Linked DNA regions of Schizosaccharomyces pombe. The protein of the gene in region 2 purifies or fractionates together with the protein of the main gene of each other region. This does not show direct contact. Each region holds a gene or a part of one and is shown on either strand. Other genes may lie near its edges. The genes, in order: rbx1, cul3 and ubc4.

What was found.
Region 1: the proteins of cul3 (region 2) and rbx1 purify together in Schizosaccharomyces pombe (affinity purification with mass spectrometry, with the first as the bait; one study listed by BioGRID). This does not show direct contact.
Region 3: the proteins of cul3 (region 2) and ubc4 purify together in Schizosaccharomyces pombe (affinity purification with mass spectrometry, with the first as the bait; one study listed by BioGRID). This does not show direct contact.

The regions. Positions count from the first base shown.
Region 1 is NC_003424.3:1,573,587-1,576,857, forward strand, and holds rbx1 (SCF complex, Cul4-RING and CLRC ubiquitin ligase ligase E3 subunit Rbx1), read left to right. Parts: upstream 1-1,758; 5' UTR 1,759-1,823; coding exon 1,824-1,898; exon of another isoform or gene 1,899-2,086; coding exon 2,087-2,236; exon of another isoform or gene 2,237-2,299; coding exon 2,300-2,390; exon of another isoform or gene 2,391-2,414; intron 2,415-2,434; coding exon 2,435-2,442; 3' UTR 2,443-2,721; downstream 2,722-3,271. Other genes in the region: mediator complex cyclin-dependent protein kinase subunit Srb10, read left to right, coding at 3,268-3,271. UniProt on the Schizosaccharomyces pombe protein: Component of E3 ubiquitin ligase SCF complexes, which mediate the ubiquitination and subsequent proteasomal degradation of target proteins.
Region 2 is NC_003424.3:485,207-490,566, reverse strand, and holds cul3 (cullin 3), read left to right. Parts: upstream 1-1,852; 5' UTR 1,853-1,951; coding exon 1,952-1,993; intron 1,994-2,049; coding exon 2,050-3,434; intron 3,435-3,473; coding exon 3,474-3,583; exon of another isoform or gene 3,584-3,635; coding exon 3,636-3,700; exon of another isoform or gene 3,701-3,744; coding exon 3,745-3,918; exon of another isoform or gene 3,919-3,969; coding exon 3,970-4,379; exon of another isoform or gene 4,380-4,435; coding exon 4,436-4,607; 3' UTR 4,608-4,844; downstream 4,845-5,360. Other genes in the region: gup1 (MBOAT family O-acyltransferase), read right to left, coding at 1-229, 305-551; TIM23 translocase complex subunit Tim15, read right to left, coding at 1,217-1,493, 1,538-1,788. UniProt on the Schizosaccharomyces pombe protein: Probable core component of multiple cullin-RING-based BC3B (BTB-CUL3-BTB) E3 ubiquitin-protein ligase complexes which mediate the ubiquitination and subsequent proteasomal degradation of target proteins.
Region 3 is NC_003423.3:713,341-716,922, forward strand, and holds ubc4 (ubiquitin-conjugating enzyme Ubc4), read left to right. Parts: upstream 1-1,944; 5' UTR 1,945-1,992; coding exon 1,993-2,112; exon of another isoform or gene 2,113-2,191; coding exon 2,192-2,269; exon of another isoform or gene 2,270-2,427; intron 2,428-2,640; coding exon 2,641-2,886; 3' UTR 2,887-2,971; downstream 2,972-3,582. Other genes in the region: 19S proteasome regulatory subunit Rpn3, read left to right, coding at 1-755. UniProt on the Schizosaccharomyces pombe protein: E2 ubiquitin-conjugating enzyme that catalyzes the covalent attachment of ubiquitin to other proteins. Mediates the selective degradation of short-lived and abnormal proteins. Mediates ubiquitination of pex5.

The DNA.
Region 1 (3,271 bases), 1.1 Mb from region 2:
ATTTTAGAGAATTGAGTATTTTTACAAAAAAAAAAAAGACAAAATTAATGACAGAGCGATGTAAATAAGTAAAAGTACATTAGCATTTTTTCCTCAAATTCAAGATCCGTAGGCTATGATCTCTTCATGTTGCAAAATGTTTGTAGACAGGCTCCAAACTTTTAAAAAACTACTTATTCCAAAACATGCTTGCCTCAACGAAGTATCGCTACCGTTCTCTTTCGTTTTACTAACAAGTTCAATTTGTTTCTTGTTTTTGTATTAGTCGATTTTTAATATGCACAGGCTTGCATAAAGATAGTTAATTATAAATTTCATTTGTTTGATTTTAAGCTTAGCATTTCATTCAGCTCGACTTCAAGCTGACAATCCCCAATGCAAATATCCTTGCGTCTCGTTAGGCAGGTTACATTTCCAATAGTTTGAACGTAGCTTCCGCGTTATTATACTTTGCCAGTTTTAGTGCATTGTATAGCTACACAGTATTTTGGTTTTAAACTTAGCGAGATATCTCAAAACCCCTTGGCATGCTCTTAGCACGGTACTTAGCTGTAGATCCTTTTAAAATTTGCTAACAGATGTAAACTTGAAAACCAGATTTTTCGGCTTAATATATTCCATCTATCATTTAAATCTCTTTGATGATAACTTTCAAAAATTGAAGGAAATCCGATGTTGACGATGAAATCACTGTAGATACGAATGTTTACTCAACGAAATTACCATACAATTTGATGCCGATCATTTTAAAGACATTTTTAGCAAAATATAAGCAGTCAAACTAGTAGAAATTTTTACAAAAAAAAGCCATATACGAGGTTTGTTTAGTACAAATGACTATACGATCGCAATAATATAGTAATCAAATGAGCCACAGGAGGCAGCAGCTGTGTATAATCGGAAATTAAAATCCTAGTAAAGATACACCCGATCTATAGAAATGATATTCTTGTGTTCATTATTTTTCAAGTTTTGTAAACTATTATTAATTTTGCATACTAGCAAAGACCATTTACAACAAATAGTGCAACCTACTTTTGAAAACTTTTGTAATCAGAAGACGAATATGCTGGACTAAAATAAACATTAACTGCATCTTGTTCTACGATTGTTATATTGAGATGGTTTATTTATTAATTGTATGGATAAAGCTTTTTTCAATCAGTCTTGAATTTCAGAGTCAATACAAGTTAAAAATAAATCAATTTTGGAATTAACTTCCCTTGTATATTTCACTTCCAAGGTATTTATATTTGGATGAAATACAATAATAAAAAATAGCTCTATTACTTCAGAAAAATTCGCTGAATGTGTTCAATTTGATATGCTAGAGAAGGTACAATATTATAGATAAATAGGGCTATTTACTAATTTTGGTTGAAACGTTTGTAGGAAACCGTCTTCAGTACTTCGATATTATATACAAAACTTATTCAATAGATGTCTAACGAGCACACATAATACAAATAATATCTAAGAAACTTGTATTGTCATCATGTAACATAGAATTAAAAGTTTACACATTTAAACAAACTGAGTAATTTAATGTAGCTAAATAGATATAGTGCTAAACACTCATGAAACAGCAGATGAATAATCATCCTTCATTTTTTGAGTACGCATTTTGCGATTGAAAGATCCATGATCCATTATTTATTATATTAAATACTTGTGTTTTAGCAAAATTTATTACATTACTCCAAAAATTATCTTATGTTTGAGTATTGCTTAGCGAAGCTGCAATTTTCAACCCCCTTTATCACACCGCTTAAACATCTCATCTTAAAACGAAGTAGCGGCTTTGCTCTATTTTACTCATCACAATGGAAGATGAAATGCAAATAGACAAGAAGGAGGTGGAAATTGAACAAAAACCTCCTCGATTTGAAATTAAAAAGGTTCGTCATTATTTTTATGATCATGTTCTTCATGTGTATCAAATTTGCCATAAAGCAAAGTAAACTGTGAAAATTAATACCCAAAGATATATTTGCTATTTTAAAATAAGCATACACTTAAGTACTAGTTTACTCTCTTTGCTTTTTTTATGAGTTCTTCTGATTCATATTGCTTACCTTCAATTTAGTGGAATGCTGTAGCATTATGGCAATGGGACATTGTTGTAGATAACTGTGCTATCTGCAGAAATCATATTATGGACTTATGTATTGAGTGTCAAGCTAACACCGATTCTGCTGCTGCTCAAGAGTGCACAGTGGCATGGGGAACTTGTAATGTAAGTTTTAATTCGATTTCTTTCGTATTCTTAGCTCAGGACTGTTTTTAACAAATACAAAAGCATGCATTTCACTTTCACTGCATCTCAAGATGGTTAAACACTAGGAATGTTTGTCCTTTGGACAATCGTGAATGGGAGTTCCAACGTTATGGTAGGGTATATTAAGACGAGCCTACTTTACTAACTTTATCTCAGGTCATTAATAACATTTATTAAGTACTTACTTTTTTGTTGGTAAAAATATTTCAATGGAGCAGAGCGTTTTATTAATGAAATGACATGAATCAATTAAAATTTCCTAAAATCATGACTACTTGTGGCTAGTTTAAGTTTCCATGTGACTTTGAATTGTTATTTATATTTATTTACTCCAATTACTCAGATAGTGGACGAATATATCAATTTATTTTATTGCTTGTCAAATAAAATTTCCTACAGACAGTTTTTAACTACACATCATATAAATTAAGACATTATATCACTACTTTGTATACACTTGAAGAATTAGAACATTACTTAAATCATCAAAAGAAATGGCATACTTCTAAAGTGCTATTGTTAAAATTGAATAGGCATACAGACATTATGCTGCATATCGCATGACAGAATGCGAATCATTGCTTTCGAGAAGAATGTCAGTGGTGAGATACAAAAGCTCAGTAGTGCACGGATTTTCTATACTTGCCAATCAATTCACAAATTCAGTTAACTTTTAAATAAGAACAAACAGCTTTATGAAAATTACCATCTGATGTTTAAAACCTTCAGTTTATCAGACTTGGTGTTTTCGTTAATAGTGGGTAGGCATAAAAAGATTCGTGGTACTTTGACTCTTTATTCGCCTAATACTAATGTTTCTGTCGCCTTCGTCACTTCCCACTATAGAGAGACCTACATTCATCTGACTTTTTAAGTGATACTAAAAAGTCGGATACTTTTTATATAAAGACTGTAAAAAGCATCCCTATGTGATTGAATGTGTATATATCCATCTCTTTAAAGGTTTGATAGGGTAGGGTCATTTCAGCATGA
Region 2 (5,360 bases):
GAGAAGCAAAGTCGATAGTTGTTTTTTATAGCGAGTTCATCATTAGTATTTTTTGTGAAGACAAGCTTAACGAGTCTCCAGAGAAAATTATAGACAATAATTACAAGTAGTAAGATTGGCATATTTTCACGAAACGCGGAATACTGAAAATCAGCGGAATCGACTTTTTGTCCAAACAACCACCCAGGCTTTAAATATTTTTCAATGTTTTTGTAATTGGGATGTTTTGCTGACGCCTAGTTAGTTGCTTACTTTATTTCAAATTGATAAATAGAAAAGGCTGATTAAAGCTTTTGACACTTACGAGAACTAACATAATGAATTTTAAAACAAGCAATTGTTAGAATCGATAGAATGACAGAAAAGTAAAAAATAAATTCTATGGAACCAAAAGCGCTCTTTTCCGGAACTGCGCTTCGAACGGTCAAACGTGAAGATGAAGATGGATGACTTGAACCAGAAGTCGAACTTAACCGTGAACTTTTAGAATTGGGTCTTTCAGTATCTTTGGTCGAAGTCTCAAGAACATCAAATCGAAATAAACGTAACATCCTAGAAGTCTCCTACCAACAGCAAAGAAGATGGTCGGTTCTCAAAATATCATAGAGTAAACAAACCTAGTGGTGTTCACTAGCAAAATGCAAGACACTGCGTAATTTACACTTTGTGTCAGCTTCATAGTCCGTAAATAATTTTAAGAGTAAGGTAGAGAGAGTATGATGAAATCAATTATATTTTTAAAAATAATAAATTCAGTTTGTATTGTTTATTGGAATGAATAAAATAGTCAGCACTATACAAAACGCGCTATTAAAATAGAAATATTAATTAAGCATCTTTAAAGACTAAATTTTGATTTTGGTAAATTAGCAACTTATATATTGAAAAATGTTTTACATTCGTTTGCAATAATTCTGTATAGCCCATTTAGATCTCTAAAATCGTTAATTTTTATAATTAATTAATTAATTTATTTTTTTTTGGATATGATTTGCTCAATGATTGCTAAATTATCACATCTAGTCTAAAAATTCAAAAGATAATTTCAAGTTAACAAGCTCATATAATAATTAAATGTTCTATTAGAACGTCGTATATATTGACCAAAGTATTACAAAAATAAATAAAAATAATATATACTATAGAAATTAAAATAAACAATGACTATATCTTGCAATTTATATGCTCCTAAACCCAATTTGATCGCTCTCCTAGTTCATTTGGAAGAATTGGAAGAAGATGATTTTGCTGGTCGAATTTTAAATTGAGGGGGCTTAAATTCTACAACATTGCCATTGATTACTTGACCATAGCCTTTTTTAAAAGTTTCCCCTTTCTTAGCTAAAATGTCTTCAATCGTCACCCGTTCTTCAGAGAATATTTTTAAATGATCAGCCATCAAGTGCCGATTTTTGCACTTAGGACATTGAACTAAAACGGTCCCATTATGGTAGGCCTGCTTGGAGAAATTGTGATTTGACCTAGTGTTACATCTTTCATTTGGTTAGTATCCTTCAATGAAATTATAAATACTTACACGGTACAAGTAAAAGAAACATTATAAGTCGGTTTAGGTTGTAATTGATCAGCATCTGATTTTACAGAGGGAACACCACTTGCAAGATCTTTAGCATCGCTTTGAGTGAAGCGTTTGCATTGCCAATTAGAAATGTTTCTCACATTCGGGGAACAGAAAAGTAAACTTGAAACCTTTACCTTGTTTGAAAAATTTTTTAACTGCAAATTTCGTAAACAGAATTTTTGAGTATACCGTGCAAAGCTCCACATTATGTTTGAAAAATTTTTGTGTTCGGAGAATGTTGTTCGTAGTTAGTACCTTCTACCACCTTTTGTACCATTACTTCCGTCTGTGCTGGCGTTTCTTTATGCAAACTCATATGCCCATATATTTAGCTTTTTTGTTGAAACTTAACTTTAAATTCCATTATTAATGCAGCGGTCAGCGAAGTTAAAAATTCGAGCGCCACGAAAAGTAAGTGTACCTGATGCATGCTGTCCTTATTATTTTCCTCACATACTGACATTTAGTTTTCTGCTAACCAAGTAGACTTTGCTACACATTGGGAAGTCTTGCAGCGAGCTATTGGGGATATATTTCAGAAAAGCACATCTCAATTATCGTTTGAAGAGTTGTATAGAAATGCATATATACTTGTTCTACATAAGTATGGAGAAAAGCTTTATAATCATGTACAGGATGTTATTAGATCGAGGCTTAAAGAAGAAACTGTTCCAGCTATTTACAAAAACTATGACGCTTCCTTATTAGGGAATGCTCTATTGGATATTAGAAAAAATGATTCCTATTCTACTTCATGGTCGAGATCATTGGAAGCGGCTCATAGATTTTTATCGTCTTTAGTTAATTCCTGGAAGGATCACATTGTTTCAATGCAAATGATATCTAGTGTATTAAAATATTTGGACAAGGTTTATTCAAAATCTGCAGACAAAGTTCCTGTTAATGAAAACGGAATATATATCTTTCGTGAAGTTGTTTTGTTAAATAGTTTTGAAATTGGAGAGAAATGTGTCGAAACTATTCTAATTCTGGTTTATCTTGAACGTAAAGGGAATACAATAAATCGACCCTTAATAAATGACTGCTTAGATATGCTAAACTCTTTGCCTTCAGAAAACAAAAAGGAAACTCTTTATGATGTTTTATTTGCTCCAAAGTTTTTATCTTACACAAGAAATTTCTATGAAATAGAATCATCAACAGTCATCGGCGTATTTGGAGTTGTGGAGTATCTGAAAAAAGCAGAGAAAAGATTTGAGGAAGAAAAGGAGAGGTCCAAGAATTACCTGTTCACAAAAATAGCTAGCCCCCTTCTATCCGTTGTTGAAGATGAGCTTTTGAGTAAACATTTGGACGATTTGCTTGAAAATCAATCAACTGGCTTTTTCTCGATGATCGACTCTTCAAACTTCGAGGGTCTTCAATTGGTTTACGAAAGCTTTTCTAGAGTGGAACTTGGCGTGAAGTCTTTAAAAAAATACTTGGCGAAATATGTAGCGCATCATGGAAAATTAATCAATGAAACTACTAGCCAAGCGCTTGAAGGAAAGATGGCTGTTGGTCGTCTATCATCTAATGCTACAATGGCAACATTATGGGTTCAAAAAGTTTTGGCCTTATGGGATAGACTAAATACAATTATAAGTACTACTATGGATGCTGATCGGTCTATCTTGAACTCTTTATCAGATGCTTTTGTTACGTTCGTAGACGGATATACCCGAGCCCCCGAGTACATTTCACTATTCATTGATGACAATCTGAAAAAAGATGCTAGAAAAGCAATAGAAGGCTCTATTGAAGCAACACTTCAAAATTCTGTTACGTTATTTCGGTTTATTTCAGAAAAAGATGTTTTTGAAAAATATTACAAAACACACCTTGCAAAAAGGTATGCTTTAATTGTTTTTACTGTCTTTAACACTTTTAGGTTGTTGAATAATCGATCAATATCTTCCGATGCAGAGCTCGGAATGATCAGTAGGCTGAAACAAGAAGCTGGTAATGTTTTTACTCAAAAGCTCGAAGGAATGTTTAATGGTAAGTATTCAGACTTTAGCAAGTTTTTTTGCGTTCCCTTATTAATGCTTAGATATGAATCTTTCACAAGAATTGTTACAGGAGTACAAACATAATTCTGCGTTACAGTCGGCCAAGGTTAGTGGAAATTTTTATTGATAATCCTTTATACTAACAGTTAGCCTGCTTTGGACTTAAACGTTTCAATTTTGGCTTCTACATTTTGGCCCATCGATTTATCGCCTCACAAAATTAAATGTAACTTTCCGAAAGTTCTCCTGGCTCAGATAGATCAATTTACGGATTTTTATTTATCGAAACATACGGGGAGAAAATTATTGTGGTATCCTTCTATGGTATAGTAAACTTTTATTTGCTTGTTGCGTCACACTAACAATCCTATTTAGGGAAGTGCTGATGTCCGTGTTAATTTCAAAGACAGAAAATATGACTTGAATGTATCGACTATTGCATCTGTTATTCTATTGCTTTTCCAAGACCTAAAAGAAAATCAGTGTTTAATTTTTGAGGAGATTTTGGAAAAAACCAATATAGAAGTTGGGGATTTGAAGCGCAATCTTCAGTCCCTTGCTTGTGCAAAATACAAGATTTTGCTAAAGGATCCAAAAGGAAGGGAGGTGAATGCAGGTGACAAGTTTTATTTCAATGAGAACTTTGTTTCAAATCTCGCCCGGATTAAAATATCGACAGTTGCTCAGACTCGTGTTGAGGATGATAGTGAGAGAAAACGTACATTAGAGAAGGTAGACGAGTCAAGGAAGCATCAAGCAGATGCCTGTATTGTTAGAGTGATGAAGTATGTCTTTTTCCTTTTTTTTTTTTTTCAAACATTTTTACTAACAGTAAATTAAGGGATCGCAAAGTGTGCGAACACAATCAGCTGATGGCAGAGGTTACAAGACAGTTAAACCCTCGTTTCCACCCTAGTCCGATGATGATTAAGCGACGAATTGAAGCTTTAATAGAGCGGGAGTACCTACAAAGACAAGCCGATAATGGTCGCATTTATGAATATTTAGCATAGCAGCCTTAACTGTTACACGAAATGCAATATTCGTATACGAGAAATCATGTTTAAATGGAAAGATACCAATTTGTTCAAGATGATATCTAGCAAAAGCTTTGTGATTATAATGACACTCATGAATTTTACACCAACTTCCTTTTTATTTTTGAAAAAAAGAAAATTTTAAGTAATGCTATAAGAAGGTTTGAAAACAGGTAGATTATATTCCAAATCAATCAAAATTTGATACATTAATTCTGCGAGCAGATAGTAGAGTAATGAGTTTAAATTACATTGTTCCATATACATTGTACAAAAAGACCAAAACAGAAAAACCCTCAGTTTAAAATAGATTAAGGTATTTGATCAACGATAGATGGGAAGTGTTAACCTAAAAAATTATTATGGGAGGAAGCGAATTCGCCGTAAATACACTATCCTACACAGTATGCTTTTGATGATGACTCTACTAATAACATCGAAAATACCAGAGCAAGTAAAGCTCCTTATAATCTTTAAGGTGTTAATCAAATAATAAAGCTATGTATTTGATTTAGTATTGAAACACCTGGTTGTTTACATTAAGAATATTCTTCTTTCCTAACGGACTACGCTATCCTCTTTAGCAATCTCGGAAGAACCCCTAAAAATATCTACCGTTCAATGCTATTCTGTATATTCTCCGCTTAATTCTATTTGTTTAGGAAATTGTATAAATAACCTCAAATATCTTAACGAACCCCACTTGTTCGCCAATTTCATTTAATTGGT
Region 3 (3,582 bases), on a different chromosome or scaffold from region 2:
CAATTCGCTACCAATACTATTTGGGTCGAATTCGCGCCATTCAACTTGACTACACGACCGCTCATGAACATTTAGTTAGTGCTATACGTAAGGCTCCCAACACAGTATATGCCGTTCAATTTCTGGAAGCTGTTTACAAATTGCACATCGTCGTACAATTGCTTATGGGAGAAATTCCCGAACGCCGCATTTTCCGCCAAAAATCTCTCGAAAAAACTTTAGTGCCTTACTTACGTATTAGCCAGGCAGTTCGTATTGGTGACCTTTGTGCTTTCACTGACGCGCTTTCCAAGTATGAGGCTGAATTTCGCTTCGATGGATTGTATACTTTGATATGCCGCCTTCGCCATACCGTCATTAAGACTGGATTGAGGATGATCTCCTTATCTTATTCCCGTATTTCCCTTCGTGATGTTTGTATAAAGCTTGGTTTGGACAGTGAAGAGAGTGCCGAGTACATTGTTGCTAAGGGCATCCGTGATGGAGTTATTGATGCAAGTATCGATCATAGTAATGCCTTTATGGCTAGTAACGAAGCCATGGATATTTATTCCACCGAGCAGCCTCAACAAGCTTTTCATGAACGTATTCAGTTTTGTCTTGCCCTTCATAATGACAGCATAAAAAGTATGCGATATCCCATGGATGCTCACAAAAGTGAACTCGAAGGTGTGGAAGAGGCACGTAGGCGTATGGATAAAGAAATGGCTGAGGCAGATTTAGATGACGATGAGCCTGATTTGGGCGAATTTTAAAAAACTTATGGAAAGTTTATAGATCTTAAAATATACTTTCAAAGTTGTTCAGTTGTATGTTTCTTTAATGTCTATGAAAACTATATGTAGTTTACAGATTGAAATATTTAGTGAGTTTGCGAAGCTGTAACAGAAGGAAAGTTGTTGAAAAACAGTTTTCGATCGGTGCTACAACGCTACAAATGCGTTTGTTGTTTAAACTGAGACTTGGTCTTTGCACATTGTAATAAATGAGTAATACGCTAAAAACACAGGGGTTTGGAGAATGGTCGTGTGCTTTATTTTCAAATTTGTTGTTTTATATTTCGTATATAATACACGTATGCAAACACATTTATGGTTATGCTGTGAAGCAATACAGATTTGATCTTGGATTATGGTTCCAATCAAAGGTATACTTTAGTCTTTTTAATTATAAATGGCGAAATGGGCAAAAAATTTTTGTGCAAATTTATTTTTTGTTATGCATAACTAGAGCAAATAAAGCAATGCTATAAAATGGCTTCCGGCAGAAAATAATAACCACAGTGGATATAAGCTAGTTTTCTAACGTGACTTAAGTAACACTTTATAAAACCAAAGCTATACATTAGTCTCTCCCATTACCACTTTGTCAATTTTAGCTAAGTTAGTAGATATGATCAACACTATATATTTAAAGTGGAACGGCAAGCTCATTTTTTACGTTATAGTAATTTAACAATTTTGTCGATATTTTGAGCAATGGTGTATTCTGCTGTGGTCGCTACGGCGCATATCATCAAATATCGCCTGTCCGGTTTCTCTATTCGCTAAATACGGGAAGATACTGATATAGTCTATATTGTATTTCACAAGTAAAATAGTTTCTGAGTTAGCCATCATGTCGTCAGTTAAACTGATCCTCGTTCTTCAGTTCACTTACAAGCTCTTTTATTGATAAATCGTTATAATACCGCCCCCATAATATAATATCTGTAATTCTCTTTAATTTTGCCCTATTTGTAATACAATAGTATGCTGGATCCCGAAAAAATTTATCGTAACGTAGCGTATCCTTAAAAGGATAACAAACTGTTTAGCGGGTATTTTGCAGGTACAAAGCAAGTTGCGCCATCCTGAAAAATTGCTTACTCAGACAAAGTCGAACTCGTGTGATTTAGTGCATCCATCGGTTATATGTTATTTCTACCTCCGTCCACGTTCTTCCACGAGCAAACTACTGACTTTGTAAAATCGCAAAAGCAAACCAGTAACGATGGCTTTGAAAAGAATTAACCGTGAATTAGCTGATCTTGGAAAAGACCCACCGTCTTCTTGTTCCGCCGGCCCTGTTGGCGATGATTTATTCCATTGGCAAGCTACAATCATGGGTCCTGTAAGTCGCGGCTGTAATAGTGCCTTGCGCACTGCCAAAATTTTGCTTGCTAGGATTGTGCAGCTAACATGATATATAGGCTGACAGCCCTTATGCGGGTGGTGTCTTCTTCTTGTCCATTCATTTCCCTACGGACTACCCATTCAAGCCACCAAAGGTATGTAACTATTTAGTCTTGTGTAGATTATGTAAATACGCATTGTAAGCTTGTGAATCGGAGGAGGAAGTTTGTTATATACAATATGAATTGAAGAGTTGATTGCATCTTGTTTTTCTGGAAAAATCGGTATGGTTGACAGTGATGCAAAATTTTTTAAGTGTTATGGTGAAAGAGTATACGCAGAAGTTTTTTTATAATTGTTTACTCTTACCTTTTATCTTCATTTCTTTATGTTTTACCAGCGGAACTTTATCGATTTTTATACGATTGCGTCCATCCAAGTGAAGCGAGGGCAATTACATTGCGTAGCATTACGAATCTGATTGATAGTCTTTTTTTTTTAATGATAACTAACAGCATATTCGTAGGTAAACTTTACAACCAGAATCTATCATCCCAACATCAATTCAAACGGTAGCATTTGTTTGGATATCCTTCGTGACCAATGGTCTCCAGCGTTGACTATATCAAAGGTATTACTGTCTATCTGCTCATTGTTGACAGATCCTAATCCTGATGATCCGCTTGTGCCTGAAATTGCGCACGTCTACAAAACTGACAGATCCCGTTATGAATTAAGTGCTCGTGAATGGACTAGAAAATACGCAATCTAGAGTTTGTTTCTGTGTTGATATTAAATATTCATCTCTTTTGCGAATTGTTTTCTCCAATGTATTGTATAGTTTTTTTTTTTTTTTTTTGGTTTTGGTTTTTTAAATAAATAGTAGGGGATGGCGATAATGTAGCTAGTAAAGTTGCATCGTAAAATTGAGGATACAAGCTGCCTTTAAAACAAACTGTATTATGTTCGAGGATAAAGTATGATTTGATTTAGATAATTTTTATGATTTTTTGAATAGTACAAAATTTTTCTTTGTGTTTAATAAGACCGAATGGGTCCAGTTGGATTATTCCAAGAGCGTTTGTGCATATATTTTTAAAAAGGTACGTAAACACTGCCGATTAAGTGAAATATTGTGCAAGTAAAAGTAGAATAACACGAATGGAAAGTCGTGTTACGAAGAGAGTAAACGGCTCTACGTCTTTAAGGTTTTGCTAAAAATATTTATTAAACAAAACTAAGTAATAAACAAATTCCTTGTAGCGCCTTTTTGCTGAAAAGAAAATGATAATACTTGACATGCAATACGAAGTGATACTGCTATAGACACAACTCATAATAGCCAGTCAATTCAACTCCTAGTTTTGTATTTGTCTTTACAACGTCGTCTATTGAGCTATTTTATGCTGTGATGTTGAGTATAAATCAACGAAAATTTTGATTTCATTATTACTGAGATATATATTTT